4 linked regions of the Struthio camelus genome follow. The protein of the gene in region 1 interacts with the protein of each later gene in a pairwise test. Links are inferred from orthologs where the notes say so. Each region holds a gene or a part of one and is shown in the gene's direction. Other genes may lie near its edges. The genes, in order: RBFOX2, PSMF1, QKI and BOLL.

What was found.
Region 2: the proteins of RBFOX2 (region 1) and PSMF1 interact in a two-hybrid assay, tested with the Homo sapiens proteins (2 studies listed by BioGRID and IntAct). The two-hybrid records come from large-scale screens. The link is inferred for Struthio camelus from reciprocal best matches to the Homo sapiens genes RBFOX2 and PSMF1.
Region 3: the proteins of RBFOX2 (region 1) and QKI interact in binary tests that used the Homo sapiens proteins (3 or more experiments, as listed by UniProt). The link is inferred for Struthio camelus from reciprocal best matches to the Homo sapiens genes RBFOX2 and QKI.
Region 4: the proteins of RBFOX2 (region 1) and BOLL interact in binary tests that used the Homo sapiens proteins (3 or more experiments, as listed by UniProt). The two-hybrid records come from large-scale screens. The link is inferred for Struthio camelus from reciprocal best matches to the Homo sapiens genes RBFOX2 and BOLL.

What each region holds. Positions count from the first base shown.
Region 1 is NC_090942.1:59,494,464-59,502,838, forward strand, and holds the start of RBFOX2 (RNA binding protein fox-1 homolog 2), read left to right. Parts: upstream 1-4,961; 5' UTR 4,962-4,976; coding exon 4,977-5,192; intron 5,193-8,375. UniProt on the Homo sapiens protein: RNA-binding protein that regulates alternative splicing events by binding to 5'-UGCAUGU-3' elements. Prevents binding of U2AF2 to the 3'-splice site.
Region 2 is NC_090959.1:18,290,817-18,298,645, reverse strand, and holds the start of PSMF1 (proteasome inhibitor PI31 subunit), read left to right. Parts: upstream 1-4,745; 5' UTR 4,746-4,821; coding exon 4,822-4,950; intron 4,951-7,068; coding exon 7,069-7,221; intron 7,222-7,829. UniProt on the Homo sapiens protein: Plays an important role in control of proteasome function. Inhibits the hydrolysis of protein and peptide substrates by the 20S proteasome. Also inhibits the activation of the proteasome by the proteasome regulatory proteins PA700 and PA28.
Region 3 is NC_090944.1:86,806,412-86,814,102, forward strand, and holds the start of QKI (KH domain-containing RNA-binding protein QKI), read left to right. Parts: upstream 1-4,629; 5' UTR 4,630-5,309; coding exon 5,310-5,451; intron 5,452-7,691. UniProt on the Homo sapiens protein: RNA reader protein, which recognizes and binds specific RNAs, thereby regulating RNA metabolic processes, such as pre-mRNA splicing, circular RNA (circRNA) formation, mRNA export, mRNA stability and/or translation.
Region 4 is NC_090947.1:11,693,042-11,700,403, forward strand, and holds the start of BOLL (protein boule-like), read left to right. Parts: upstream 1-4,126; 5' UTR 4,127-4,238; coding exon 4,239-4,256; intron 4,257-4,702; exon of another isoform or gene 4,703-5,060; intron 5,061-7,362. UniProt on the Homo sapiens protein: Probable RNA-binding protein, which may be required during spermatogenesis. May act by binding to the 3'-UTR of mRNAs and regulating their translation.

The sequences.
Region 1 (8,375 bases):
CTTTCTCAACATAAAAGCAAAAGACCTTTTGTTTCCCATGCAAGGTCTTCGCAGTTATCTATTATCATATGTTTGGGGGACTGTAGTTCCTTTGCAGAACTAGTTATAAGGTCCCTTCATATTAGGAGTGCTGAAAGACCTACTTAATTCCTTGCCCTTACAGGCATAAGCAGTGCAGGCAGAAAGCATCTTTATGCTAACTGCATATATGCAGATAACTGCATCTGCACTGCAGGTGTCGTACGGCTTTAGCAGGATTGGTATACTTGAAATGACGCAACTTTGGTACATGATGATACCCCACAGAAGCACAGGCCTATTGGTAATTAGCAGCAATGAAAATAGCACTTCAGCAAGGCTTGAAGCAGGTAGGAAAATAACAAGGCATGGCTACACAGGGAAGTTTTGCTAGGAGCTCTTTGGTGGTTCCTGGCTGTCTCCATTGCTACGTCGCTGGAGCGCCGAGGTGCTCAATGGTGTTTGCTGAAGCCCAATGTCCTCACTGCAAGAGGTGGCCCTGGCAAAAGACCAGGTGCATTGTGGGTGTCGACTTGCTGACTGACCGCTGCCAGCACTGTTGCGTCAGAGTAACATATCAATATTGGCCTCCTGCCACAGCTTGAGGACTGGCATCCTTCATACAGACAGTTTAAGTCAGATGACAAAAACTTCAAATTTTGTTGACTTACGTTATGTATTTTTGGCTGTGTGCTAACCTGTGACAAGAAAAGGCAACTTCTGTTAATAAAACTTAGTTCTGAAGAGCCAGCTATAGATAAGCAAGGAGAAATATTTACCCATGCTTCTCACTAAGGAAAGCTGTATCACACTTCCTGTGAAACTTGGACCAAAGTGCAGGCAGAAACTTTACCTCAGCTGCTCTTCGCTACCTGTGGGAGTATTGCTGTCAGGAGGAAGAGCTTTGGCTCCAAGATCTTGGCTGGCAGGATAGAAGCAGCAGAAATGAGCAGGGCTGGGCAAACTATTAAATCTCCACTGACCCGTTTAGCAGAGAGATAAAATCCCCTGGGAAGGAGAGGGGGCAAAGCTGCAGGAGGCTGAGCGGGCAAGAGGAGCTGGTGAGGTCAACAGGGTGAGACGTCGTATGCAGACAATGGAAACAGCAAGAAACCCTTCTCTGTTGTGGCGGTGAAGGGAAGAGATTCACTCTGAACTGTCTCCTAATGATTCCTATGCCATTGGGTCAAATACTAATAGCTGAGTTTGTGCCTCATTTCCTGCCGGTTCCTTAGAGCTTACGTGAGTCATTGCCTCTGCTCCACCAGAGCACCATAGTGAGATTCAACTCCCTGTACTTCTACAGAGCTTTCAAACTCAGTGTTGTCCTGATGCCACCTGATCTTCAGGCCAATGGGAGCACCAAAACATATTCCTTCAAGTCCCTTCAGAGGGCGCCTTTCTAGGAAAAAGAAAAAGAAAAAAAACTTTAGTCTAAAATGATGTGTATTTGTTCAGAAAGATATATTCTTCACACCAATTTCTGAGCGTTCCTCTGTAAGGATAATGTTTAATATAGCTGCCTCTTTTTGGTTTGTCAAAGATTAAGCGTTGGTGAGTGCTCCACAAACTTGTGCATAAAATAATGGCATGTAGGAGTCAGGCAAGAGTGCTGCGCAGCAATGAAAGGGTTAACAGAAGAATCAGATGTCTGTTTAGTATGTCTCAGATGTCACATACAAATACCTAAAAGGCAGCTGGGTTGTGTGAAAGGAAATCAATGGATTACCAGCATAGTCCCAGCTCAAAAGCTTTTTTGTGACTTCAGGAATGCCTTATACCCCTTCCGTTAAATGGAGACAGTATCTATCCCACAAGCATATTGTGAAGACTAAATCATTAATCTTTTTTAAGTGCAAATGGAAAAAGCTAGAGAAATAATAATACCAAATATCATTTCAATAATGACAGAAAGCAGATGACTGCACTCAGTATACCAGTCATAACTGCAGGTCACTGCAGTGGTTAGGGCACAGTACCTTCCTTGCCTTAGCTTTTTTCATTGCTGAGGGTGCTCTGTGCTATGCAGTTGTCCTGGACTCCTTCGCTTGCAGGCTGCCAACCACAGCCAGCTGAAGATGCCTGACCAGGGGCCCTGCCTACACACTGTGGGCTCCCCTGGGCGCTCTTCTGCAGAGCAGGCCATGTGAGCATGGGGTGTGAGGGGAAACCGGCAGCAACTTTGACATGTGTATGGCAGGAGCTGGTGGAAACGGGACTAGGGGAAGATAAAGAGAAAAATGGAGCCTGGGCACCACTGAACAACTCCTTCTTTTGATATTCCTCAAGGGGAATATCAGGCAGACACATATATGGCAGAGGGTTTACTGCTAACTTTTCTTCAGGCTGGCTCCCTTAAAAATGAAGCATTCTGCAGTGTCTGATAGGCAAGATCTTAATCTGTAATAGTCATCTAGAATGTCCCAGTAAAATACTAGTTATGGAAGGTGCATGCAGATGAAGAGAAATACAGAAATGCTTCTCATCGAATGAGTAGCACCCTAATCATGAGAATCTCTCTTCTTTTCAAGTCAAGGGTGGAGTGAACATGTTCATTCAATGTTGTTTGACAGTCTGGCTCATTTTATCAAACCCAGTCAAGATGAATGAGACATGTGTTTACCCTTGGTGGGCGAGCAGACAAAAACTACATGTAATTGTCCTCCGGGTGCCTGCCACTCCATGGGGATTTGTAATCATTTTGGAAAAAAAGAGATTTCCCTGTCACCGGAAGAGACAAGCTGGCACCTTGTTGCAAAAACGTACCACTTAAAATAGTTTTTAACGTGGCCTTGAAAACTATTTTTGGATCAGAAAGAATGTGGTGTATGGGCAGACTGGAGTCAAGTATTGTAACTGTCATTCAAAATCAAAGGCTCGATCATTTCATGAAGATCAGCAGATGAGTAAAGATACACCAAGATAATCCAATTGTTCCATAGGCTTCAACACATACAGTGATATCTGAAAAGTCAAGAAGGGTTTCTTGTCATGTGTGTTGACATACGCTGACCACCTCCATTCCTGGTTTTCTCCTTTTCAAGTGTTGACCATCAGAGGAAGAATACCCATTCCCATGCCATAATAAAACCAACTGCATGTTTGTATTAGGATCTGCAGATTAGTTCTCCATCAAGTTACCAAAGCTTCCAAACTAGTTTCAGGATAGCAAAAGCTGCTTGTGTTCTCCTTTCTCTAGAACAGACATTGTCCTTGGTGCTACCAGACAGCAGCTGTGCAGTAAAATCAACTTCACATTCATGCTAAGGATTCAAAATTTGGTTCTTAAAATCAAAAACACGGAGGAGTATAAAAGAGCTGATGAACTTTGGCTTCAAGTTTAAATACTGATGTCTACATCTGGTTGCAAGTCATTTGCAGGAAAACAAGTTAGGAGTTATGTAGAAAAACGCAGGAGAATCCCACCGAGGCTATTATAAAAACAGATCAGCCACTTTCTGCAGAAATCAGAGACCAGCACTGTGAGACGTGCCCTAGAGTGAGCTTCCCAGAACCGTACAGAGGAAGCCCGGAAACATTCAGGAGAAAAGACGCATGCCCTGAGCGACAGGACGCTACCCTGAGCTGGAGCACCGTCAGGTACCAAGTTGGGCAGAGCATCCTTACAGAAGCCTGACACCCCTAAAGCAGGGGATTGGGTCACTAATTCTCACCTGCAGATTTGCCTTAGCTCAGTACTACTCCTACAGGCAAATCTGTGCTTGTAACCGTGGAAACCTCTCCCCGAAAAACAGCCCTGAAACATGGATGAGCCTTTGGTAGGGGCTTTGAGGATACGTCTCTGCCACGAGGGGCTGGGGATCTGCATCCTTGCCCCCAGCGCAACTGCTCCAGCAGGCGGGCAGCCCTGCTGTACAGGATCCTGCATCTCCTGCAGTCTGCTCCAAGATTTATCAGCCAAAATATAACATCTCTAGCCCAGCCTCGTTACAAAAGGCTTCGAGCAGGCGAAGATGAAACCACTTTTATGTGCAGCACACCTTAAACCCTGTGATGATTCCCCACACAGATACTTGTACAGCGGGACAAAAAAACCTGCTTTCAGCTCAGCATATGCTTCACGGCCAGGGGACGAGACAGACCAGAATCTATTGGTGTAAGAGCACCATCCCCGCGGTGTTACACAGCCTCGTCTCTGCTGAAACCCCAAACGTGCCCGTCCTACAGAGGAGCAGGTGGCGAGGGGCAGAGAAGGAGCCAACGGGGGACGCTGTGGGGTGTCAGCGACCGCCCGGAAACCTCCCCGCAGTGGGGCAGAGGGACGCAGCAGCCAAGGCCCGCCCCGCGGACAGGCGCAAGGCAGGCGGGGAGCGGGGCACCGAGGGCAGGCGGCGGGCCAGGCCCCAGCTCGGCCTGAGGGGCCGCGGGCAGGCCTCGCAGGCGGCCGGCGGGCCTCGGAGGCGGCGACCCCGCAGGGCGGGCACCGCCTGGGGCCAACGCGGCGCCCCGGCTGCTCGCGCAAGGACCGGGGGCTTCGCGGCGGCGGAGGGGGACGGGGAGGGAGGCCCGCGCCGGGCGGCCATTTCCCCGCCGCCCCGTGCGGCGCGATAGCGGCGGCGGCGGCGGCGGCGGCGGCGGCGGCCGGGCGCCCTGCGGCCCGCGCTGGCCCCGCCCCACCCCGAGGCCCCGCCCCCGCCCGTCGCCGAAGGTTGCCGAGCGAGGGTCGCGCTGCTTCGGCGCCTCGGCCGCCGTTTCCGGAGATTGCCGAGGGGCTTCGGCCCCTCCCCGGCCGCCGCCGAGCCCGTGACCGAGCCGCTCCGGTGGGTCCGAGCCCGCCGCGCCCGGAGCTGTGGTAGCGGGGCCGGCGCTCGCCCGCCTCCTCCTCCTCCTCCGCCTCCTCCGCCGCCGTCGCCGCTGGCGGGGCCGGGCGTCGTGGTGACAGAGCGGGGCGATCGCGGCGGGGCGGCGGGGGGGCGGCCGGGGCTCCGGCGGCGCGGATGGCGGAGGGCGGCCAGCCCCCGCAGCAGCAGCAGCAGCAGCAACAGCAGCAGCAGCAGCAGCCGCAGCTCCTGGCCGGCGGCGGCGGCGGGGCCGCCCGCGGCGTGAAGCGGGAGCCGGAGCTGGAGCAGCCCATGCCCGGCGGGGACGGCGCCGAGGGCGGCCACAGCAAGAGGCTGCGGACGGAGGGGGAGGCCGACGGTGGCGGCATGCAGGTAGCGGGCCGGGCCGGTAGCGGGAGGGAAAGCGGGCTGCCCGGGGCGGCCCTGGCGCGGACACAGCGACACGCACACGCACACACACCGACACGCACACACACACGCGGTGGGTTTGTCGGCGCTGGGAAATACAATGGCGGGGGGGCGCCCCCGGGCGGGGGGGGAGGGGGACATCCCTGCCCCTCGCTCCGGCTCTCCGCCCCTGCTGGCGGCTAGGAACGATGGGCAGGATTTGGACTGGCTTGTTTCTTAATTATATGTATTATTTTATCTTAATTTTATCTTAATTTTATCTTAATTTTATCTTAATTTTATCTTAATTTTATCTTAATTTTATCTTAATTTTATCATTTCTTGCAGTTTGTCCGTTGCCCTAAAAAGAACGCTCTGCGCAAGCTACGCCTGTGCTTTCTTCCTAGGGAAGCCCCTTCCTGATTCTTGAGAACTATAATAGCGCCTAAAGAGACAAAATAAATCCTGTAGAACCGCTGCTATCTCTTGCCGCTCTTCTCCTTTAAAGGAATTGCTCTCCTTTAGCATATTTCTGTCTGCCACATCTCATAAGTGTCTTAATCTGAGTGACCAGACACTCCTCTGTGCCTCTGTTGTCCCAGACCAGGGATGAGTTATTTGTTATGGATTTAATTTGCTACCTCCTTACCCGTAATTTTTCCAGTTGAGTGAGAAAGCGTGCATGTTGGCTAGCTGATGCTCGTTGGAAGTATAGTACAAAGCATGTTGCGGTGGGATATTTAGCGTATGGAGTAGAGGTGTCGAATAACACAAGGGATAACGTGAATTAACGAGGAGGATCAGGTCTCTTATCAGATGCCTTCTCTGGCATAGACAGAGATCTACGTGAGTTTTACGAATTCAGCTGAGCATGTGTTATTGCAATGTACGGTTTTCATTTCTGAGGGGATGGTCCTGTTTGATGCTAGATAGGCCTTCAGTGCTCCTGTCATTGCATTTCCCTCCGTGGCTCTAGATTCTGCAAAAGTACTGATGGCTCTGCCTTGAGAGGCTGTGGAAAGGAGTGGCGAAAGAAAACATTCAACGCGCGGTACATGCGTAACATGGAGCATGTTAAAGACCAATGATGCTTTATCCATTCTCTTTTGATTCTTTGTCTGTAAATGATAAGGAATAATTTCAGGTGCTTCTTGGGAACAGAGAAAGGGGTCTTAGGACATCATGTGAGAGAGTCTTCCAGTTTGGGAAAGAGAATGATGACTTTGGATAAGAGATTAAGTTCCTGTCTTCTGTTCCTTACACATTTTGATCATCACTGAAGGATTGGTCTTTACTTTTCCAGATGCATTTGCTTTTGCATTTGGGTGGGGGGGGTATAGGGAGTTAAAGATATTTCTATTTTCTGTTGTCTGTATGTTATGTGTGATTTAATTATGGCAGTTCAGTTGGTGCTTTTTTGCTTCTGTTTCTTGCAACAGATATGTTAGAGTTCTTTGAAGATGGTGTGATTTATTCAACTAAAGTTATTTCTGTTCTCACTTTTGCTTGGGCTGGTCTATCCTGTTCACCGGAGAGAATTCTGTCCTCTGTAATGTGTTTCTCTTCTGATCTAGATGCTAATTGCTGACCAACTATTTTCCCTTTTTATTTTCTAGGCTGTCCCCACATTGCACACTCAAGACTCTTTTTTTTTAAACGCCTTACAGCAGGAGGGTTTTGTTTGTACTTCTGTTTGATGTTTAGCCTTTCATGGTGGTCTCTACACCGCACAGAACTGCTTTTTCAGCCAGTCTGATGTTGAGAGCTAAACATAGGTTGGAGCTTCACACCTGAATGCTGTGTCTCATGCTCCCATACGGCCCAGTGAGAAGCACGCTATGCTCTTTTACTCCTTGAAATAGTATCTTCTCCCACACATAGGTGTAAAGTATGACTCAGACAATGTGCATAATTACAAGGCAAAGATGCTCAATATTGAAGAAATGCTTGTGCGTTGTGTATAGTTAGAGAATTATGAATGAATGTATCAACCCAGTGAAAGGGAATTTTTCTAGGTCTTAGGAGTTGGTCGGAGGCATAGGTCCTGGGTAGCTATGTGAGATGTGTCAGTTCAACTACAATTAGTGGTTAAATATTGATGTAAGCCAGTGGCAAATCATTTGAAAATTGCCCGCAAAGGGACTTGAACTGGTTTAACTAACCGTCTTAAAATTTGATATTTGTGTAAACTAGTACAATTTGTAAGTACAGAAAAGGCTCCCCTTTAGATTTAAATGAGGAAAGCATTTTGCTATCTGTTCAATGAATAGTACAAAATAGTGAGGTTAGAGCATTTACCCATGGGACTATCACCGTGTACGCACAACAATGCATAATGCTGTTACTAGTAGTAAAGATTAATTATGGATCTGAGCAGAGAGTTGAATTGTTTGTGGTTTTCCATATTGTAAGCCGGCAAACAGTTATGGTTCTAGCAGTACTGAGGGAAAAATAGTTGGAGAAATGCATTTAGTAGAATTCATTTTTAAAATTAAGTTTATTCCATATGCCTATTCTTCAGAGTAGGAGCTCCATATCCTAGTTGTTTAGTATTCTTAGTATGATATAAATCTTTTCTCTAAGTTTTGCTATAAATTTTTTTTTTTCTTGCCAGATGTTTCACTCTAACATTTTTTAGGCTTAAAGAGAGTGATGTGTTTGTTTGGAGACTCTTTTCATAGTTGTAAGTGCAAAATACTAAATATGATGCCAATCTTACAAATAATTTCTTAGCTAGGAAGATGTGTTTTTTAATAATTTAAAAAGTCTATATTCTTTTAACCAAAAGTCAAAACTTATCATAAGGTTGCCGTTCATGAGGATTTCTGTTCAGATAGTATAATCTGTTGAAGTATCTTATTACTTCTTTTTAGTAAATTGTCCATGTTTAACTTAAGTAGTGCTTACAAAAGTAATTAAGAGCCTATTCTTTGAGAAAGAGAGAGAGAGAAAGAGAGAGAGAGATACAAATACATAAATAATTCTTTTTTCCTCGCATGTACCAGAGGCTTTCTGGAAGTTATTCCTAACATCAGCAACTGCTGTACCTTGTTTTTCCTGCAGATCCTGTCAATTTTCTACTTCCTCTTCCAGAGCCACGGGGTATTGCTGTGTAAACTCCATGACCTCGTGTTTCTAGGCCGATTACGAGGAATCCTGCGTTGCCAT
Region 2 (7,829 bases), on another chromosome or scaffold:
GCCAGCTCAGGGCTTTGGGTTTGGAGACACGGCCAGGGTCCTGGAGCAGGACAATGCCCACGTGAGAGCAAAGGCGGCGGGGAAGTATCCTCAGGCCCGGAGGCCGTGACGGCCACCCCCGGGGTGCTGCCGTGCAGCGCCGGCGCGGGGCCTGCAGGGCCGGCCCTGCCAGCGCCGCGAGGGGCCAGGAGCCTGGCGTGCCCGGGGCCGCGGCGCACCCGAGCCTGGCTCGGGGATGGGCACGTGGCTGCCCCGCCACCGCGCCTGCCTCCGAGGAATTCGTGCCTCCCTCCTCTCACACAGAGCTGCAAGCCGTTTTGACCAGGGGAAGGGAAAATAAAGTAAGTCACACCCCAAATATTAGGTCTCTTGCAAAAACCCTGCCTGCCCGAAGGAATCCTCAAGCTGGTCCAAGGGTGGGAGAGGAAGGATCCCAGCCTTCAGCTCCAATTAGAAGATCTTCCCCTGACAAAACAAAACAGCCAGCAAGTTACTTAACTTCTGTGTTGACTAGGCTGGCTTTACCGTGCTCCTGCCTTATAGCCTGGAGTCTGGCTTGGCACACGGACGCAACGTATGGAGGGACAGCTGGACCACGAGATAAGGCCGCAGGGGGACAAGCGGTGGGACAGCAGCTCATGGGGATGGGTGGGAGGGTGGATAAACTGGCGGTTGGGTGGACAGGGGTGGTAGTAAGGTGGATGGAAAAACTCAAGCTCGATAAGCACTTCGCATAACTTTGTGTACAAACTCCTGTGCCCTGTCTTCTCACTCAGGGACCGCTATTTCCTAGAATTTGCAGTTCCTAATTATTCGCACACTCGTGGACCTTCCAGCAGGCGAGGGTGAATCCCCGCTAACCACTCCAGCTGTGCCCAGGCGGGTCTCTAGCTTGCATGGTGCATTTTCAGTTCTGTGATAAGATGGGCCAGGATTGAGGATCAGCTTTCTGGAGGAAAGACTCATGATTTCCGCCTCAGGAGAGGACACTCGAACGAAGCCACCAGGAGTCGGGGGGGGGGCGGGGGGCATCTGGTACACCACTCGGCACACAGGGGAAGGCTGTGCCTGAAAAGAGAAATGTGGATGCCATTAAAGCCTGCAAACCACCACTGCTGCCCATCAGAAATGAGCCACGGGATGGGCGGACGGAAATTCTGCCTGTTGTGAATCACGAGCCCAGTACTGGAAAGGCTCCGGCTCAGGCATTTCCTGCCATTATCATTGAACCCTGATCAGATGCTTCTTTTACTAAGCAGACATCTCCGTAGGCTACATTGCCCAAGCCACCCCACGGGAGGGCTTTCGCCCTGTCCAACGCGCGGGGGAGCCCCGAGTCCCCCGCCAGCCCTGCGCCCAGTGAGACCTGCTCCACCTCGCTGGCATCTCTGCGGCTATTTGCACCGGCCCTGGCTCTGCACCTATCCAAGTGCTGTCTGGGTGCCCATCTCCCATTGAGGCCACCGAGGTCTCGGGACAGGTTGCCCTCCGTCCCCTCGTCGCACCAGCGATCCTGACCCAGCGGTTTCCCAAGCGGAGCGGGAGCCTCCCGGCATCGCCTCCTTCCTGCCGCACCTTCCCCGGCAGCGGTGCCCGGCGAGGGGCTGCGGGGCTGACGGCCGTGCCACGTCCCCAGGCTGTACGCAGCCTACTGCTGCGGGACTCCCGCCCACCTTCCCACCCAAGAAACACGGCATGTTGGCCACGCTCCGCTGCCTGCTTACACACGAGCAAAGAAGCTACCAGGAAGGTCTGGAGTCCTGCACACATGCGATGAAACCCGGGCCCTGTTGAAATCAGTGGCAACTTTCCTACTGATTTCCACACGAGCAGAATTTCACACTTGGCTCCCAAGCCCTGTCCCTCTTCCGCGGAGCCAGCACTGACGGGTGAGATTAGCAAGAGGTGTAATGTTTCCGCAGCCACCGGGGAGATGACTCATGTGAAGGGCAACGCTCAAGGAGCTCCTTGCGAGGAAGGCCCTACGGTCTGCGGTCAATTGTTCTGCTTCAATGACTTCTTGAGAGGGAAATGGAAAGAGTGGCCTGTGCGTTAATTAATAAATGCATAATGAAGTCAAGATGAGTCAGAGCATCCCAAAGGAGTTGGAGCTCAGCTGCTGCTCAGCAGCAGATCACGGCTTTCCCCAGCACTGGGCTGCTTCATCCAAGGGATTGCTCCAGCCTCACATCCTGCCACTGGCATCGATAGGGTCCCAGCAGTGGTGGCAGCTCCTGGCCTCATGCTGGGCAGAGGAGCCACAGAGAAAACCGCCTCGGATCCACAATCAGTTCAGAAAAAATAAGTCCCTGACTACGTTTCAATGGCAACTTTAACAAGAACTGAAGTGTTGTAAATAACGTGGCCCAGAGAGAGGAGCTGGGGAAGGAATGGAAATAACCCTGGTAATAGCAGTTCAGCCTTTTGTTCCCCCCGGGACAGGTGCCTCAGGGAAGCCGGAGCAAACACCAAATATAAGAGGGCATTTGAATGCATACGGCACTATTCTTTTGTCTTTTTCTTAACTTTCCAGCAAATGCTTTGGTCACGGGCTGACGCTTGGTTAGGAAGAGCCTGGGCTGCAGGAAAGCACGGGGAAGCAGGCAGATCTCAACCAAGCGAGACTCCCAGGCGCACGGCTGGAACGCGAGGCCGCTTTGGAGACCCCGCGACCACGCTGCACAGCCAAGCTGGGGTGATGGCACGGGGAAATTACTGAGCGAGCCCTTCCACATACGCAGTCTCCAGATCCGCAGCCACAAGGGAGCAAGTGTGCACGCAGATGAGTCCCACACATACAGATTTTTCTTGTACATGAAGAAGTACTAAATGTCTCAGAATAAAAAAACAAGCCTTGTGATGTCAAAGAGGGAACGCATCAGCCCCGGGCTGCAGATAACCCCAATTCACTGGAGCGGAAGGACTGGAGCTGCATCGCCGGTCATATCCTGGCAGGTCACTAGAAAACCTGATGCGGCAGCAATATTATATTCTTCCCTGCGTTGCAGGTGGAACACGATGTCCCTCCCAGCCCCGGCAGATACGGCCCGCCCTGCCCTCGGCTGGGTGGTTACATTTTCTTTCAAGAAACTCTTTGGTTCCCCTTTAACGCTCCGAGGAGACGAGGGAAAACAGGTCAATCCTGCACAGCAGAAACCAGTGGCAAGGAAAGGCGCCGAGAAAAATAAATCGTATCAAACGATGTGCCGCCGGCGGAGCTACCGAGGGAGGACGTCGGAGCAGCCCCGCGGAGCGGCAGGTAAAGGATGCCGAAGGGGTTTCTGCGCCAACGGGCAGGTAGCAAGAGAGACGTGGGGGACGGACGGGAGTTATCAGACGGGCCCCGCGGCGAGGCTCTGGCAGGGATCCGCGCGCTGCCGGCCCCGCGGCGGCCACGGCAGGAAGCCCCACGTAACGCCCGGTTGGGAAACCGGCCCCGACGCGGGCCGCCCCGGGGACGGGACGGGACGGGACGGGGGGAGCCCGGCCCCTCGGGGGGCAGCAGGCTCCCCAGCGCTGCCGACGGCCGGAGCCACCCGAGGTTTTGCGCGAGGGACGAGGGCCCTCTAGCGAGTGCGCGTCTCCCCGCCGGAGCGACGGCTGCTCCCGGGGGGCCCCGAAAGGCTGTGCCGAGGCCGGGGCGCCCCGAGCTCCCCGCAGGCGCCCGTGCGGGGCTCCATCCGGGGGCTGCCCCCCCCCCCACCCGCACTGGGGAGCTTCTGTGGCCCCCGCCCCAACGCCGGGACCTGGCTGGGGGGGGGGGGCTGCCGGCTGCCCCCCCCCAACTGCGGGGGGCCAGGCCACGGGCTGGGCACCCACAGTCCAGCCCCAAAGCCTGGCCCCACACCTGACCCGGGAGCCCACAGCCTGGCCCCAAAACTGAGCCCAACCCCACACCCCAGCTCAGCCCTACAGCATAGCCCCACAAGTAAGCCTAGACCCCACAGCCCAGCCTGGCCCCCCCGGCCCAGCTCGGCCCCACAGCCCAGCCTGGCCCTACAGTCCAGCCCCCCAGCCCAGCCCAGCCCCTCGGCCCAGCTCAGCCCCATAGCCAAGCCTGGCCCAGCCTGGCCGCACAGCCCAGCCTAGCCCCATAGCGCAGCCTGGCCCCACAGCCCAGCCTCCTGGCCCAGCTCAGCCCCACAGCCCAGCCTGGCCCCACAGCCCAGCCCCACAGCCCAGCCCAGCCCAGCCCCATGGCCAAACTCAGCCCCACAGCCCCGGCCTGGCCCCACAGCCCAGCCCCCTGGCCCAGCCCAGCCCCATGGCCAAACTCAGCCCCACAGCCCCGGCCTGGCCCCACAGCCCAGCCCCCTGGCCCAGCCCAGCCCCATGGCCAAACTCAGCCCCACAGCCCCGGCCTGGCCCCACAGCCCAGCCCCCTGGCCCAGCTCAGCCCCATGGCCAAACTCAGCCCCATAGCCCAGCCCCCTGGCCCAGCCCGGCCCCCCAGGCCCAGCCCCTAGGCCTCGTCCGGCCCCATAGTGTAGCCCAGCCCGGCCCCCCAGCCCGGCCCCTCGGCCCCGCCTGGCCCCATAGCGCAGCGCAGCCCGGCCCCCCAGGCCCGGGCCCCCGCCCCCGTCTGACCCCATAGCGCAGCCCGGCCCCTCGGCCCCGTCCGGGCCCACAGCGCAGCGCAGCGCAGCCCGGCCCCTCGGCCCCGCCTGGCCCCATAGCGCGGCCCGGCCCGGCCCCTCGGCCCCGCCTGGCCCCATAGCGCGGCCCGGCCCGGCCCCCCGGGCTCCCCGCTGCTGGCCCCGCCCCGCCCGGCCGGGCCGGTCGCTGCCGCGGGCCCGGCGGCTGCTGGCTGCGGGCGGCGCCATGGCCGGGCTGGAGCCGCTCTACGCCTGGGCGCGGGCCGCCATCTCCCGCCCGCAGGACGCGCTGCTCTGCGGCATCCACTGGGAGCTGGTGCGGCACGGCTACCGCTGCCTCGGCGCCGGCGACCAGGTACCGCCCGGCCCGGCCCGGCCCGGCCCGGCCCGGCCGCCGCGCAGGCCCCGCCGGCCCCGGCCTTTCCCAGCGCCGCTCGCCGCCGCCGCGCCCGGGGCCTGCCGGGGCCTGCGCCGCCCTGCGCGGCCGCGGGCCGTCCGGGGGGGGGGTCCCGCTGGTCCGGGGGGGGGTCCCGCTGGTCCGGGGGGGGGCCTAGTGCTGGAGGGGGGGCCCGGTGTGGGGAGAGACCCGATCCTCGAGGGACCCGGTGCTGGGGGGGATCTCGGTGATCGGGGGGGGGTTGGACCCGGTGCTGGGGGGGATCTCGGTGCTCGGGGGGGGGGGTCCCGGTGCTGGGGGGGGGGTTGGACCCGGTGCTGGGGGGGATCTCGGTGCTCGGGGGGGGGGTCCCGGTGCTGGGGGGGGGGGTTGGACCCGGTGCTGGTGGGGATCTCGGTGCTCAGGGGGGGTCCCGGTGCTAGGGGGGGGGGTTGGACCCGGTGCTGGGGGGGGGTCCCGGTGCTGGGGGGGGTTGGACCCGGTGCTGGGGGGGATCTCGGTGCTCGGGGGCGGGGGGGTCCCGGTGCTCGGGGGGGGGGTCCCGGTGCTGGGGGGGGGTTGGACCCGGTGCTGGGGGGGGGTCTCGGTGCTCGGGGGGGGGGTCTCGGTGCTGGGGGGGGTTGGACCCGGTGCTGGGGGGGATCTCGGTGCTCGGGGGGGGGGTCCCGGTGCTGGGGGGGGTTGGACCCGGTGCTGGGGGGGATCTCGGTGCTCGGGGGGGGGGTCCCAGTGCTGTGGGGGGGTTGGACCCGGTGCTGGGGGGGATCTCGGTGCTCGGGGGGGGTCTCGGTGCTGGGGGGGGGGTTGGACCCGGTGCTGGGGGGGATCTCGGTGCTCCGGGGGAGGGTCCCGGTGTTAGGGGGGGAGGGGGTGGACCCGGTGCTGGGGGGGGGGGGTCCCGGTGCTGGGGGGGGGTTGGACCCGGTGCTGGGGGGGATCTCGGTGCTCGAGGGGGGGGGTCCCGGTGCCGGGGAGGGTTGGACCTGGTGCTGGCGGGGATCTCGGTGCTCCGCAGGGGGGGTCCCGGTGCTCGGGGGGGCATCCCGGTGGTCCGAGGTGGGGGTCCCAGTGCTGGAGGGAGGGCCCGGTGTGGAGAGAGACCCGATGCTCCCGGGTCCCGATGCTCCCGGGCGGGGGGGTCTAGGTGTTGGGGGAGGGCCCGGTGTTCGTAGGGTCCCGGTGCTGCGGGGGGATCCCGGTGATCGGAGGGACCCAGTGCTGAAGGGGGGGCTCTAGTGCTGGGGGGAGTCCTGGTGTGCAGAGAGACCCAGTGCTGGGGGGATCCTGGTGCTGGGGGAGTCCCCACGCTCGGGAGGTGCTCGAGGGTCCTGGTGCTCGGGGGGGATCCCAGTGCTTGGGGGGTCCCCATGCTCGGGAGGAGCTCCTGGTGCTGGGGGGGGTCCTGGTGCTGGGGGGGGGTCCCGGTGTGCAGAGAGACCTGGTGCTCGAGGGTCCTGGTGCTCGGGGTGGAGGGGTCTCCAGTGCTGGAGGTTCCTGGTGCTGGGGGGGAGGTCCTGGTGCTGGGGGGGTCCCAGTGCAGTGCTCCCAAGAGGAGTCTGCAGTGCGGTGGGGTCTCTGGGTTGGGGGGCTGGTGTGGTGCTGGGAGGGGGGGGTCCAAGCCCCTGACTGGTGCGGGACTGGGGATAGGCAGTGGTTGGGGTGCAGGGTGCTGTCCCAGCCAAGAAACACCTGGGTGCTGGGGAGGGGGCAGCCCGCAGCAATGCCCCCCGGCAGTGACCGCCCTGGGGCTGGCACAAACGGGGCAACAGTTCCCTGGGCAGCTCTGTCCCACGCTGGGGGGGGCCGAGAGGTGTTGGTCAGCGAAGAACATCGTCCCCTCCTCTGCGTCTTCCTAGCTGGCAAAGGGTGGTTGTGTCCCTCCCGTTGCAGCCCAGGGGTCCCGTGGGGCAGTTGGGCCCTGCTCCTGCTGTCGAACTCTGGAAGGCAGGGACAGATCCCTGCAGGAGATGTGGATCTCCTCCCAGATCTCTCCACACAGCCAGGACAAGTTTTCTTGGCCCTGCAGCAATTTGGTCTGGTGGTCAGGGTCTCAGCAGCCTATCTGTCTTCCTGTAGCCAGGTCCCGATGAAAGGAAGTCAGAATTGCTGCCAACCGGCTGGCAGGCCAACAAGGAGCTGTACACACTGCGGTACAAGTCCACGGATGATTCCCGTGAGCTGCTGCTGAAGGCGATCATGGTGGAAGACAGCATGATCCTCAATGTCATGGTGAGCATCAGGGCTGGTCCTTGCCGGCATTGTGGCCCTCCAGGTGCAGCGGTCACGTTCATCCAAAATGCCCTGGGTGCAAAGAACAGCAGGGCCCATTTTTAAAATGTTTTGCTTCTACTTGTTAGACCTTGAAGCAGCATTTGTTCCTCATTTGTCCCGACTGTGGAGTTTGCATGGGGCAGACTCTGGCTGTAAAGCAATAAGTTATAGCCTGCAAACCTGCCCGTGCGGTAGCACATGTGACTGCATCAGCACAGGGAGGCGGTTTGCTTTGCACGCTCTGGCCCAGTAGCTGCCCCTTTTGTGTCCCTTTATCAGGTCAGGATGTATTTCTAGATCGTTTGCCCTGTCCCCACTGAGCATCTGCCCAGGGATTCTTTGCCTTGTGCCATGGCCCCAGGCTGCACCACAGGATTTCTGTCTTTGACCCTTTACGGCCCAGACTGGGGTAGCCAGTAGGGAGAGCCTGGCTGGCACTGGAGTTTGTGCGCTCTGGGGAATTCAGGCACTGCACAGTGATGTGGGCAGAAAGCAGGCGAGCCCCGTTGCTTGTGCATCCCGAGACCTTGCCTGCGGTCACACCTGCTCCCTCCTTCATTCCTGGT
Region 3 (7,691 bases), on another chromosome or scaffold:
GTTTAATGGATCAAGCTTATCTTGAGATTTAAACAGAACTCAGACATCTCTTCAACTCTCTGCTGTTTAAAGACACCACTCCAGCTGGATTAAGCGCCCATTTCTACAGCCAGGATACACCAGGCATGCGGAATAGACAGGTAAGCTTTAACATTAATATGTAATGAACTCGAGGACTGCAACACAGACTTTCAGGTGTTTTTGTTTTGTTTTTTAAACTCTTCCCCTTTTTTGGCTATGAATACTAGGCCCTTTGCTTATTACTTTGAACCATGCAGTACTATGGCTTTTGTTTGAGACGTTATCTGACATCTTAATAACACAGGCAAATGAAAGAGTTTTTTAAAGAGACTTTCGGACGCATCACAGTATCACTACAGTCGATTTCTTGAGCTTTTTAGTCTGGCTCTAGATCTTACTCCATTCACATGTTAATCACCTTCCAGAGATCAATGAAGATTCAATGTCCACCTGGTAGTGGCCATGTCTAACTGCTGCATCCCAAATGCAGTGTTTTATATACCACAAACAAGTCAATACTGGATGACAAACGCACCTAAAGTGGTCTTTTTCCTTAAGTGACCGTAAGGGGTAATTGAAGAATTGCTTCTTTCCCTAAAGAAGGGAGGTACTGTTACCTTACTGTTTCAGATAGTATTTGCAGAAAGCTGATGATGTCCAGCTGCAAATGCCTATGACTTGGTCTAGTGCCTCTGTTAGCACGTAGAAGAGATTACAGACTAGTAGGCTTATAGGCTGGAAGACACAACCAACAGAAACAGTGGAAGCAACAGCCAACATTAACTGAAAGAGTATGTTTCCCAGTAGTCATCAGCCTTCAGCTCTCCTATTTCCCAAGCTGCTATCAGATATGAATGTTATAACAGTAATTGAGTTTGCTTTTTATGATCAGTGCAAGGGCTTTACTGTAATACGCAGAGGCTGCTGCTGGAATTATCACAGTTTTTCTTATTTCAAGATTAGATTAACGCAATAAAACTTCACCCCTTAAAAGAGAAACTGCTGGAGAATACTGCAGCTTGAATGGTACAGGAAGGGCTACCTAGATGAAAGCACAGGGGTTAAAGATCTGTATTTCTGCTTGTGTCCCCACAGAATTTAAAGTTTTGGGTTGTTATCTACAGAACTATAAATAGGATCTGGTTACAAAAACAAAAAAAGTCCACATATTTTTCCCCTCATGGGAAAGTAACAAAATCCAGTACAGTGCAACAGCATTTCTAGCTCCTCTGTAGATCAGGCTCCAGGCACGTCAGTCTTCATGGGAGCTCTGAGTTTCACAGCCCTTTAACCAGAACTACTTCTACCTGCGTCTTCCACGCACTCTTAAAATCCCCTTTCTGGGGCATGGAAGTGCAGGAACGAAGAGACAGAGAGGAACATGAGAAGGTATGCTTGGAAAGACTTTTAGATAACTTTGTTTTTACTGTATACGTGATAAAGTAAGATGTCACACTGATGTGCTTATTTAAAACTAATGGTGAGCTATCTGCAATACTTATTGCCAAAACATTTAGCTTCTCTGAAGGTATCTTCCCAATGAATTAAAAATTCACAGTCTTAAAAATATTTGTGGAAAGATGAAGGATGAGAATTTTTCCTAAGTCAGTTATGCCTAATTATATTGGCAGTTTCAGCACATAGATTTGACTCAATTTTTGCACTATTTAGACCGAGAAGACAAATCAGATTAACACAGAGTAAACTAGAGCTTGAATTTTGCAAGGCAATAGCTATTCCTCAGTAACTGCTGGTGTGCATCATCTTATTCCCCGCTAAATAATGTAACATAGCTTAGGGATGAGCTGTTTTGTTTCTATTGGTAAGTAAAACAACTGGCAGTTACCATTCAATAACTTTTGCTAGCATTTCTTACCTTAAATTATGTGCTTGTTTTCTCTGTGCATATTCACACACTGTAAGCACCTTATGTGCAGGGAGCACTGGGAACAGCTGCACTAAATCTGCTGGAAAAAAGTCTCCATTTGCTATTTTTACTATGAGAATTGGCACTCCAGAACAATTATTCTGATATTATCTAAGTTCATCTCATTTTATCATGAAGGACTGCTGGCTGAGTGATATCCTTAATCAAATTGAAGGATTTAATAACAAGTTTTCTTAGGGTTATAAAGAGCTTTCACTCACTGGGTGAAAAACAAGTAAATAAATGGCTACAAGCAAATGCATCATCTTTCAGACTGATCTGCAATGATGACATGCAGGGATGACAGTTTTGTTAGGCCTATAAGGTGTGTTCTGGCTTTAGGCACAACTTTAAAGCAAGAGGGGGGGAAAAAAAGCAATTGTATCTTCATTATTAAATGGGGTATTGTTTCGTGATCCATAGCCATACTGCAGCGTACTTCAGGCATGCTGTTCATGGACTAAGAATCTAAACTGAAGAAAAAACCAGCTCATAACATTGTTACTCTCTCCTTGGTAATAAAACTAGTAGGTGTTTTTACTTGAGTATACAGGGGTTGTGTTTTTTGAATGATGCAACCAATAAATATGACTTATCTTATATAAGTAAATAAATATTACATAGCATAAATCCAAAAAATTCTCTTGTTTTAAAGAGTTCTAAATGTTTACAACAGAAGAATCCAACATGCAACAGAAAGGACGCAATAATCTAAGGCAGTTTTACTAATACGAGAGCTACACTTTCTCTAAATTTTTGTCAATGCGTATCTTTTAGAAAAAGTACAACAGCAGTGCTTGACAACACCCAATAAAACTGCACACTTGTCAAGAAGACAATGCGGTTGTGCTTCTTTTTAGTTTTGGAAGAAGTACTTATGATGAACTCAGTTTTTCAATTTTCTTCAAATACTGTGCGGTACATATGACATTACATATGAATTCTGTATCAACTTCAAGCAATATCTAGACTCATATACTCCTACAACAAGCAGTATCTAGACATATATACGCGTACAGCAGGGGCCACTGCACGGCAAGGCACATGAACAATGACTGCGTGATTTCAGTGAACTAGAAGAAGTGTGAAAGGAAAATATTTTATCCAGTTTTATAATATAAGTTCTTCCAAATTACTTATAATTGCATCAAGGTCTTCTGATGATATCCTAAATAATAAAAATCAAACAAGAACATCAAGTAGCAGCATGGGGAAGGCGACGACGACCAGGAACACATACAAACAATCGCGTCAAGCTGCTTTGCCTCTGCGGCTACAGTGGAGCACGTTAATTTTGATTCTGGCTGCCAGACTCTGCTTCTCCCATCACGTCTCCCACCCAAACCCCCCAAACAAGCTTCGAGTGATTCGCGTCCAACTCCCTGCCGGTAAGGCTCGGGCGCCGGGGCAGTGCCGCGCCGGGGACCTGCACGGTGGTCCGCGCTGCCGAGGACCGAGCCGGGCCCAGCCTCCGCGGGCGCTGCTGGCGGCCGCGGAGCGCCGAGGCGGGCGGATGGTGCCGTTGGCACGCGGCACAACGCAGCAGCACCCGCCGGGTGCGGGGGCCGCCGCTTCTCCGGCGTCGGTCGGGCTCGCGGGGGGGGGGGGAGGGGGCGTGCGTCTGGAAGGCTAGACCGGCACCGCCTGTCTTCCTCCTTCGCCCCGCGCCAGCGCAGCCAGCCAGCCAGCGCCTCCCGCAACGGTCCGCTCCGCGCCGTTCGAACGGGGCCGTTAAACCGCTCCCGCAGCGCGCGGAGAGCGGCACACGCCACCTGTCCCAGCGGGGTGGCTGGGGGGAGGGGGCGCGCTACACCCCCCCCCTTCTCCTCTGCCTTCCCCCGGGGGCTGGTCACAGCGCCGTCCCGCAAGGCCTACTGCCAGGGAGCTCCCTCCAACCCGGCCGCGGCCCCCAGTACCTCAGCCCCGCGCCGCTTTCTCCTCCTGCCCCCACGGCCGCTTTAAGGATTAGAAATTGCTCCTCGTGCCGCGCAGCCACGCGCACCGCCCACAGCCCGCGGGCGCATGCGCGACGCAGTCAGCCGCCCCTCCCCGCCCCCGCCCAGCTCGTTTCCCCTCTGCCGCGCGAGGCGGCAGCCGCGTTGTAAACGAAAGGCGCACGCGCGTCTCGGCGCGGCCCGTCCCCGCCCCTTGGGTACCCACGTGACCCAGTTCCCCCCCCCCCCCCCCCCCCCCCCGCGCGGAATCGGTGAAGTAACAGGACTTTGTTTAGAAGAGTTTCTGTGCGCGCGCGTGTTTCTACGGAGCCAGCCGGGAGGCGGGGGGGGAGGGGAGGGGCGCGGGAGCCGCACGCGACGCTCCGCGCCGCGCCCGCGCGCTTGCGCCACCTATCCGCGCGCACACGCTCGGAGGGGCGGGGCCGGGGGAGAGATACCCCCCCTCCTCCGCATCGGGCCCGCGGCTCGCCGCCCCTCCCCCCGCCGAGCTGCGGCCGCCGCCGCCGCCCAAGGGGCTCGGAGCGGAAAGGGAGCGACGGTTGGCTCCGCCAAGCGGCGCTGCCACCGCCGCTTAACGGCCGCCCCGCCCCTGCGCCCGCCCCTCGGCGTGTGCCCACCCCCGCGGGCCCTGCCCCCTCCCCTCCTCCTGCCGCCGCTGCTGCTGCCGCTGCCAGCGCAGCCTGAACTGAAGCGAACTCCGGAGCGAACTGAGGAGAAGTGAGGAGGCGGCGGCGGGGCTGACACTCACCAGCCACAGGCGGCGGCGGCGGCGGCGGCGGGAGGGCGGGCGGGCCGGCGGGAGGCGGAGAGGACACACCAGGCGCAGCGCGGCGGCAACAGCAGCAGCGGCGGCGGCAACAGCAGCAGCAGCGAAGAAACACCGGCGGCGGCTCCTCGGAAGCGGCAGCCTCGCCAGCAGCGCCCGCCCGCCCCGCTCGGCCCCCCTCCTCCCTCCCCCGCCGCGGAGACAGCGGGCAGCGCCGAGGAGAGAAGCCGGGCTCAGCGTGTGTGTGTGCGCGGGAGGAGGAGGAGGAGGGGGGGAACACATCGAGGACTGCGCCGGCCGAGGGCGCACGGAGCAGGGAAGCGGCCCCGGCGGCGGCAGCAGCACCGAGAAGAGGCGGCGGCGGGTCCTTGTGCCCGGGGAGGAGGGCGCAGCCCGCGAGGGGGTTTCTGTCGAGTTTCCTCTTTTTTTCGGTCCCTTGGACTCGGCGGCCGGTTTGCGTTTGTCTCCGGATTTGAATCCTCCTCCTTCTCCTCCTTCCTCGGGGAAGCTCCCCTCCCCGCCCCCTCCCCTCCCCCACCACCTCCCTGCCCGCTCGGATCCAGCCGGGCGCCCCGTGCCGCGGTCGCGTTGCTCGGCGGAGCTGGTGCGGGCGCTCGCCGTCTCTGCGCGCGTTTGGAATATGGTTGGGGAAATGGAAACCAAGGAGAAGCCGAAGCCGAGCCCCGATTACCTGATGCAGCTCATGAACGACAAGAAGCTGATGAGCAGCCTCCCCAACTTCTGTGGGATCTTCAACCACCTCGAGAGGCTGCTGGACGAAGGTAAAAGCGCTTCCCTGCCCCCTCTCTCCCGCTCCGCCGCCCTGCCTTGCCTCCCCCACCCCTTGCCTGGGCCTCCAGGCTGCTCTCGGGCTCCCGCTCTGCCCCCTCGCCCCTGCCCCGACAGGCCCGGGGTGGCCGTGGGGAGTTTGGGGCCTGTTTGCCTCTCCCTCTCTCTTTCTCTCGCTGGTGTTCATCGCTCGTTCTCGGCCCTCGCCTGAGCCCTTAAAACAAAGGGGAAGTGTGGGATCTCCCCGCCCTGATTCCTGGCTTGTGGTATTGGGGGACTTGGCGAGAGAGTGGGAGGGGAAGAGGGAGCCCTGAGTGTACAGGTCCCTGTTTTTTTTTTTTTGTTGTTGTTGTTGGTTGTTTTTTTTTCCGCGCTGTCTCCTAAAACCGGGGGAAGGGTGACTACCACATGGAGGGGAGGGAGCGAGTAGAGACGAGGAGAGGAGCTCAGGAATGTGCTTTGGGGGAAGGTAGGGGAGGAGGGGAAAGCGTTGTTTGCAACGCTGCGTGGCTCCCCGTTCACGGCGGAAAGTATTGGGAGAAGAGAAGGGTCCTGTGCGGTGCGTTTTGTGGGAGTGTTAGCCGACTCGCTCGGAGGGCCTGGAGCAAGGGGGTTGGGAGGGTGTTTGGTTTCGAGATTTGGCTGTTCTGGAAGCTGCTTGAACTTGAATGACTAAGGCCGAGGGGGCCGAGCTCTTTCTTCAGCTCCAGCACTACCCCACCCCAAACTGGCCACAAACTAATTACAATTTTCCTATATTGCAAGAGAAGCGAGCGAATTCGACTGTCGGCTATTCTTACCTTTTAAAGAAACTAACTTGAAAGACTCCTACGTATGACTTTAGTGAAAAAAAGAAATTACGAAATTGCCTCCTCTGCTGCTGCCAAACGTCCACTGCTGCCTCTAACCCCGGCGCCGTCTGCAGCCCCGCACCCAATTCCTGCTTCGAAGTGATGAGAGGCCGCTCATGTGGGTTGGCGCCCCCCCCCCCACTTTTTTTTTAATAGCTTCTTTTAAGGGTGCGTCTTTACAAATATATGGCTACGTTTTGAAATACGTTAAAAGCTAGAAACTTCATGCGTCCCATACGTTTTCCCCTACAGTGGCAGACTACTGTGTTGAAAATAAGGCGACCCATTTCTTCTTGGTATATTGGATTAGCTTTGTTTGGGTTCACAGATTTGCCTTTCTTTTTAAAAGATTTTCCTTCCCTACCATCTAAACCTTGGCTTTCCGGAAAGTGAGAACTGTTTAACTCTACAAATTTTATAAAGCTACCGAATAAAAACAGAAGTTACTTATGCAGCTTCAACTTCTTGAGAATCTTAGCATGAAATACTGAGTTTCGAGATTTTGAGTTAGGATTTTTGCTTGTAGCCGTATTCCTCCTGGTTAAACGAACTTTGGGAAGTTGTTGACCTCGGAAGATGAAAGAGCTGGTTATATTTGATAGAACAACTCCCCGCCCTCTCCAAAGACTGTAAAAATGAGATAGCAACTGGAGTACAACAGAAAATAGCATATTGAGAAAACTCGACTTTCTGAAATAAATGATAGAGGAGTTTTTTTTAAAAAAAAAAAACAAGTAGAGAATATTAACATAAAAATAGAATCTCCCCATATATAGCTTCCCGTAGTCCGTCTTTTAAAGAATTTGATAAGCTGTAAATTCACTATAAATTTTACTTTTCAAATCTGTGTGTTCTGCTATTTAGAACATGTTTTCTATGGTGATGGAGAACATGACATATTTGGAATAATTAGCAAGGTTTATAATAAACATCAAGAAGAAACTTGACCAAGAAGACTTTTTAGCACAAATGAGCTTTTCATACATTTTAATTTTTTTTTAATTCCTAAATCTCTTGAAGTTTATGTATTTAGCCAGAGAAGGCCTCAAACTTATTTTGTCAAAGAACAAAAGGAAGAGAAACGTCCCAGATAAGGAAAGGACACAGGGGAAAAAAGGAATGTCTAGAGCCTTGCATCTTTTGAGATTGTTTAAATTCAGGAAGCTCTGGAAATCTCTGTTTTGTGAAGTATTAGAATCCAAAAATGAGGGATGTGGAGACTCTTGCAGAAGACGCTCTTTTAAGAGTTAGTAGTGCTGAAGCTATTCTTCACCCCTTCTTAAAAAAAAAAAATTATCTGTATTTCTAAATAGCTTCAGAAAGAATTCTGCTATCCCTTTAAGCTTTTTTGCTTTTCCTGTTTACGTTGGCAATTGGGTGGA
Region 4 (7,362 bases), on another chromosome or scaffold:
TTTTCCCTGTACGTGGAAACGTGCTGTACGTGGAACATACAGCAACATCCTATTTACAGTGAGATCATTTTTTACTTCATTTTCTTCATCTGGCATTGTGTAAGTACCTGGAAATATAATGACATTCAGAGAATCACATTGTAAAACCTGGAATCAAAGCCATTTTGTCTGATGACCATCAGATGATTTAGGAAATGAAGTAACTCTTTACCTTGTAAGAAGAGCTCTGTAATATGATGGCAGCATAAGCTGATATTAAGTCACGCTTATATCCATTTACCTTTACACTTCCAAAGCAATCAAGGTCTGATTTATACTTTTTTTCTTGCAAGTAATTTTTTTCCCCACTTTTGTTTCATAGTACATATCAATTGTTTACAGTCTTTTCTACTCATTTATTTGTCTGCAGAATTTTACATTCAGTTCAATGAACTATGTAAAATATAATACTATGACAACTGCAAAAGAATATTGAAAAAATATAATTTATCAACGTCAAGTTCAGCATTGATTTTTTGTTTGAATAAAGGAAACATAGTAGAGCAAAACGAGAGGAAAAACCAATCAAGTCTGTCACACTAAGTTAATGTAAATCAGGAGTCTGATGATTTTCTCTTCACCCACCTAATTGGAGACCTATTAAAATTTCCGTGTGACACGCGTCTATGGTGTCTTGTTGAAGGACTATGCTTGTATAATACATAAAGGAATCAGATTTCTCAGTAGACCTATTTAGGTGTTCATATTAATAATCTCATTATCAGATTAAACAAAGGACTCCGTAGTTCAAGAGCAGGAGTATCTGTTGCTACTCAGATAAGAGATGTATCAACATGTACAAACCTGCACTAATTATTTGTAGTATAATTCTTCCATTTGCTAGGGACATTTAGGAAAGGATTGATAATCTTTACAATTTGACTCCTAACAGGCAAATACAGATGCCACCACACTTGGAAGTACTTTTCTGGTTTTGGCTCTTTTAGCAATACCATGTTTTAGCTGTGACAAGAAGTTTGATCAGCAATAGAACTTGTAAGCAGCAGTTTCAAGTAAGTTTCTTCCTCCTTGAGGACATGTAAAATAAAACACATACAGACTCCTTTACAAGTAAAGCATATATTCTGAGCTCTGAAGTGAGACAGAAGGATGCCAGTCTTAAGTACTGCCTCCAATAACCTATGTCATGCTGAGCATTACTTTTGGAAAATAAAACATTTTTAAACGAAGGTATAACATCTAAATAAGTCTTAAAATTTCAAAGAAATCTGGAGATGTCCTGATACATTTTGAGCTAGAAACAATCTATGATGGTGTTAATGTTAATGAATGAGGATGCTTGGGTTACGCAGTCACAATCTACCACCTTGGGGAAACAGTAGGGGGAGAGTAGTCCAGCCTACTGATCGCCAAGTCTTCCGCTCCTCTGAGTCATCCATCACTGAGGGTGGGGAAAATGTGAGACGTGACAGAAATGAGGAAATCAATTCTCAGCAGAGCAGCTGGTCAGTTTGACAGAGCCTTAGGAAACAGGCTGAAGCAGAGCTCGACAGAGATGGCTGCAGAGGCTTTAATAAAGGGGTGGAAAACATCAGTGAAGCAGTCGGATGAGGAAAGGGGGGCACAGACAAGAGGATGAAGGCGAGAGTTTTATTAGGGGATTCAGGCACAAAGTGGGAGGCACAGACAAAGCGCAGAGAGAATGGTAAAAACTGAGGCGAGGACAGAAGGAGTTACTGCTCCTTTAGAAGGGAGATGTGCAGAACTAGAGTGAGAATGGGGATGGTGTGGGAAAAGAGCCTCTAGGATGAGAAAGTCCTATCCGAGAAATACACACACACCCATTTGAATGAATAGAAAACTTCCCGGAAATGAGTCATTTCCTTCAGCATTTTTCACATGGCACTGCCCACAACTTTTTTGTTCAATTGTGCTATCTAGATGACCACCGTAATAGGCTTCTAAAGACTATAGCTACTCTCTTAGAAGGTTTCCTCAACCTCCTTGAGCATCTAGAGCTCTCCTTTTTTTGGTTGTTCTGGATAAGGCTCACAGTGTAGAGAATCTATTCACAAGCTTGTAAGAGAAATTGCTGCATACATCTTTATAAATTACAGATTTTTTTCATACAATTGTATCCTATGCAACAGAGACAAAAGTCAATCTTTTAGTAACATCCTATGAGACGTTTTTATGAAATTGAGAGCAGGAAGGAACTAATCTTTCATCAGGTGCAGCCTGGCTCCCCCTGTCTAATAAAAATGTATTAATGCTCATATTCCCATGAAAGGATGTTAAGATGCTGGTAAGTAAGCTAGCATTATTATCTGCATTTTACGGATAAGCAATAGAAGCAAAGGAGGTGGCGTGTCTTCTCCAAGGTCAAGCCATCCATCAGTGAAACAGTAGTCTGTTACCAGGCCCATGTATTACTCATAAAATCATCCTTGACTTTTTGTGCTTTTTCCTCCTTTCCCCTCCCAAATCGTTTCCCCCCCCTCTTTTGCTCTCTCCTTTATCTTTCCATGCTTAACCTCCGACTTTCTCTCGTCTCTCTGATCCTATAAAGAAAGGACAAAAGGTGAGAGCCTACAGGAACCAGCACAGCGGGACTCTTGTCTTTGTCCAGCGCTGGCTTTTAATTTGTGGGAGAGAGCCAGGGGGAGAGAGCACTTCATGCTGCTTGTGTTGCTGACATGCAGAGTCAGGAAAAGCTGGCACACGCCTATCTGCCTTTGAGAATGGCTTCCTAAGTCGGGACGCTCGGCCCTTAACCAGGCAGCCGCGTCGCGCCACAGCAGCCTCGCCACTTTTGTGGTCATATTTCAGTCCCGTGTGCGTGGCAACATATTTTGCCAGCTCTGCTTGTAATATTATTAAATTTGTGGATTTTCGGGTTTTCAGATTTAAAAGTATCAGAATAAAAAATAGATCAATCATCTTCCTCATTTACTTGCGAAACTCCTATTTTTGTCACAATTGCCTCATTTTAAATGCAAGATGTCCAAGATTTAGGCTTTTAACCCGAGGAGGAGGTGTAAGGTGGAAGCTCCAGCAATTAAAACCGTGCAAAAGACACTTTCATGCCTCCGAATGTTTCTGTGTTCTTTCAGCTGTTCTGACTTTGAATTCCCCAACTCCCAATATGAAGCACATGAAAGACGTGGCCCGTTCTGCCACGCAGATCATTAAAACGTGGTGCTGTTCTTCGGATAAGCTTTGCTGCTGTGTGATGCATGTTCATGAAAGTAGGTCAGTGAATACAACTCAGCAGAACTCTGTATTTTAAAAACAACCATTATTTCTTTCTAAGAACCTCACCAGCTGGGCTGAAGTTGCCTTTATTTTTATATGGGTTTCTCAGAGAGCTAAAAAGATCACTACTAAGAGTTAAGCGGTAACCTGTTACCGACGCAGATTTAGTAGTTTTTAAGTAATTCGCCGTGATAACGATAACGCTGCGGGAAGCGGCAGAAGCCGCAGCAGCACCAGAGAGGCAAGACACCGCGCAGGACCGCAGCAGCACCGACCGCCCGGCAGCTCTTTAAGCTCAAGAGGGAGGTCCCTGCTGTAAAGCTACCCGGGAAGCACTGCCAGTCTTAGGCTGATGCGGAGCTGCTCCGGCCCAAGGGCGGTTTAGCAGCGGAGCTATTTTCAGGGCACCTGGCATGTGCGAGCGGGACGAAGCGCGCAGGCGGCAGTTGGGGACGCGGCGGCAGGGGCACCGCGGCCCCCCCGGCCCCGGGAGGCGCCGAGGCGGCCGCCCGGCCGCTGACTGACAGCGCCAGCAGGTGCCGGCCATGGCGGGGGGCGCCCGGCCGCGGCGGGGCAGCGGCTGCCCGGTCGCCGCGATAGGGCCGGGGCGCGGGGGCGGGGGGGGGCGCGGGGCGGTGCCGGGCGCGGGGCCCGGCGGGGGCAGCCGGCGGCTGCGGCGGGGCGGGGAGGGGGGGAACCCCGCGGGGGCGGCTGGGTCCCTCCCGGGTCACTTTGCGCCGGGCTTCGTCCCTCAACCCTGGTATCAACGCGCGCCTGGGCCCGCTCGCCCCTCAGGGCCGCCCCCTAGTAGCCGGGGCGCCGGCGGTTGGGCTGCTCGCTGGCCCCCGCCCCCCGCCCGCTTCCCGGGCCCGCCCGATCGCCTCCCGCCGCCCTTCCCCCGCGCTGCGCCGCCGCCGCCCGCCGAGGAGCGAGACGCGTGCCGGCAACGTGCGGCGGGGCCGCGGGGCCGCGCCCGGACGCAGATGGAGCCCGACGGCACGGTGACGAGCGGGCCGAGGCGGGCGCGGGGTAGCGAGGGCGGCCGGGCCGGGCCGGGGGGAGCCGCTCCTGCGGGAGGGGAGGGGAGCGCGGCGCGGCGCGGCGGGGCTGGGCAGGGCGGCGCCGCGGCCCGTCCCTCGCCCTGAGGGGCCGGGGCGAGGGCGGCCCTGGGCACGGCCCGGCCGGGCACGGCTTTCCCGCCAAAAGCGCGCGCGGGGGGAGGGGCAGCGCGCGCCGCCCCCGCGCCTGAGGGCGGTTGGTGCCGCCTCAGAGGAGCCGGGCGCGGGCGGCCTCGGCCCCCCTCGGGGCTGCCCGTCCGCCCGCCCGTCCGCCCCCCCGTGCCCTAAACGTGCGCCCGACGGCGGCTGTGCTGCGGTGGCGCCCGGCACAGCCCTTGGGAAGGCCGTTTTGTGGGAGAGGGCGGCGGCTGTCGCCTGTAACGGCTTGGGGAGCGCAGCCGGCCTGTGCCGCAGGGAGCTGAGCGCTCCCGCGCGTTTCCTGCAGCCCGAGAGCCGCCGCCGCCGGCGCCTCGCGTTGAGATGCGGCTAGCTGGGGTGTCCCAGCGGAGCCGCTGTCCTTTCGGCACGTACATAGCTGCAGGAGCAACACAGTAAATACCTGGGAGACGCCGATGACTTAACTTTCGACGTTGTAAGACGGAGGCGGTAAAGAGAAGGAGGAGTTTTATCGGAAGGTGGAAGCAGTCCCCTGGTTTTGCGTGGTTTCGTGTAGCGGCTTTCTGACCGTGGATGTATTCAGCATGAAAATAAAAACTTGTCAGTGCTGGCAAAGAACAGTTGCCAAACGTACTAAGTCAGGCATAGCAGATCTGTTGGATTTGTGTATATACAGTGTTTTAAAAGTCAGATGATGAAAACTTAAGTGAATTTTAAAAAAAGCATAAATGCACGAATGATTAGGCAAGTGATAGGACCTTAGCATAAAGATCTCTTTTATCCTGTTTTCTTACTGCTACAATGGCATTAAGGCAAGGAAACACCGCTTAAGCGAATTGTCAAAATGCAAGTTTCAGTGTTTTTTAAAAAGTCTTTCTTATACTGTATAAGAGAGTTCATAATTGATGTGTTTAATTACTCATTTCTTTTTTTTTTATGTGAGGCACTTAAAATTCTTAAGACTTGTGTAGGAAAGTGAAATGGGAGATCTTTGAGATAAGGAACACGTTTTTTGTTGTGGTGTCAAGTATTACTTTCGTAGTTAGATTTTAATAATGTATTTCTAAGCACAGTCTCCAGATAATTACAGAAATAAAATGGTGTGTCCATTTTAACAGATGAAGAAAGTAACCTGCTTCATCGTCCTTCTAAGGTTGCTCTCTACAGAAGACTTTCTTTCTTCTAAAGCTTTCAGGACTGTGGGTCTAAGATTGTGTCACATGCATGTGCCAAGAGCATCCAGTGCAGCCAAAACAAGGTCCAGAAAGGGCTGAGGAGAGCTCTCCCTGTTTCTCATTACTAAAGCAGTTTATGAACAGAGAGAGTTGGTGGCAAGCAGAGGCCAGGACGCTGTATTTTCCACATTACCACTATCTACTTGAGACTGGTGAATGTAATATTAGTATATAACAGATGACAACTTCAATTTCGATAATTTTTTTGGGTTTTCTTTCCTTTCTGAACTTTGCAGGAGATGGAAAAGTCATAGGAAAGACTAATCTCAGTACGGATAGTGTGAGGCACACAGTGCTCCCATAACAAGGGGCTGAGGATAATAATAGTGAAGTTGTGTCTGCACACCACAGGTGATGGAAATGACTTTCTGAGGAGTATTGCCCTTTTGATACGAGTAGACCGCCAGGATTTCAGTTCAAGAGAGGAAGTTCATGCAGCTTTAAAGTATTTATAATTTTATGTTATGATGACGGTTATCTTACTGAATTTGGACCTGGTTGTACGAGATCCCTCTCTTGCAAGGTACCGTTGTGACGACCAAGATTACGTGTAGAAAGGAATAGTCTACATTAAAATGTAAAATGCTTTTTTCTTCGGGTTAGACGCTTACTACTGACGTTACTGAGTTTTGTTCATACTAGTGCAAAAAATGCAAAATCACTTGACCCTCAGTGAACGGTACATGTTTATCACGTAAGTAATACGTGATAATTGCTAATAATTGTGAGTTATTTACACAGATGTACCAGAGCCACAGGCACTTGGAAGTTGGAAGAATACTTCAGAGGGAGGTATTCTGTGTGTGCCCTGTTCTTCTTTTTTTCTGTAGCCATTTCATTTTTCACAAGTGTCAAAATCCAGTGGACTGCGTGGGCATGGGGCTTTGGTTTGACCCAGTATGGTTGCTCTAATGTAGGATTTACGTTATCTGGAAGGATTATGTTTAAAAGGATTATGTTACGTCCCTTATTATGGGATTCAGATTGAATGTAATTTTTGCGCAGAGAAAGATGATCACTCCTGAACAGAACACTGTGTGCTGTTTAACATGTTAAACAGATTTCAGAACGTAAGCCAAATTTTGTTTAAAAATATTAGAATTTTTGGATGAGGCCTTTCAGTTATCCTTTCTTGAATCTGTAGATGCTGGGAATAATTTACAGTAGTAGGTCAGCTTTGCCTAGTTTGTGTCAGGTTATTTTGTGAATGATTGGCCCTACCTGTGAAGATTGATAAGCTGTAGTATCAGAGCCTTTGCTGGTACGCAGCAACAGATTTGGAGCCGCTGTAGTCCACGGTTCGTGGTATCTCCTTCTATCTAGGTGTATATATATATTGCTGTTTACGTTATTTCTTCTTAACGCTCGTTAACTGCTGAATATCCATCAAATTTAGTCGTACCACAGTGTATTTAATTAGCTGAGTGTTGGGACAAGATTTGTGTCATCTAAAAACATCACAGCTAGTCACAGATGGGAGAGGGAATAGTATAAGTCATTATCGTTGCCTAAGAATCCAAAGAGCAGTGCAATTTAGGGAAGTACAAGATTTTTAAATCCTTGGATAGATGAAATAGGCCTTCAAAATACAACACCCACCAGTTCGAAGCTGCTTACTACATCAGCTGTGTTTTTCACATTGAATCGGTCATCTTGTCACCAGAGCCTCAGCTAGACTGGTAGAAGAGGCTAAAACA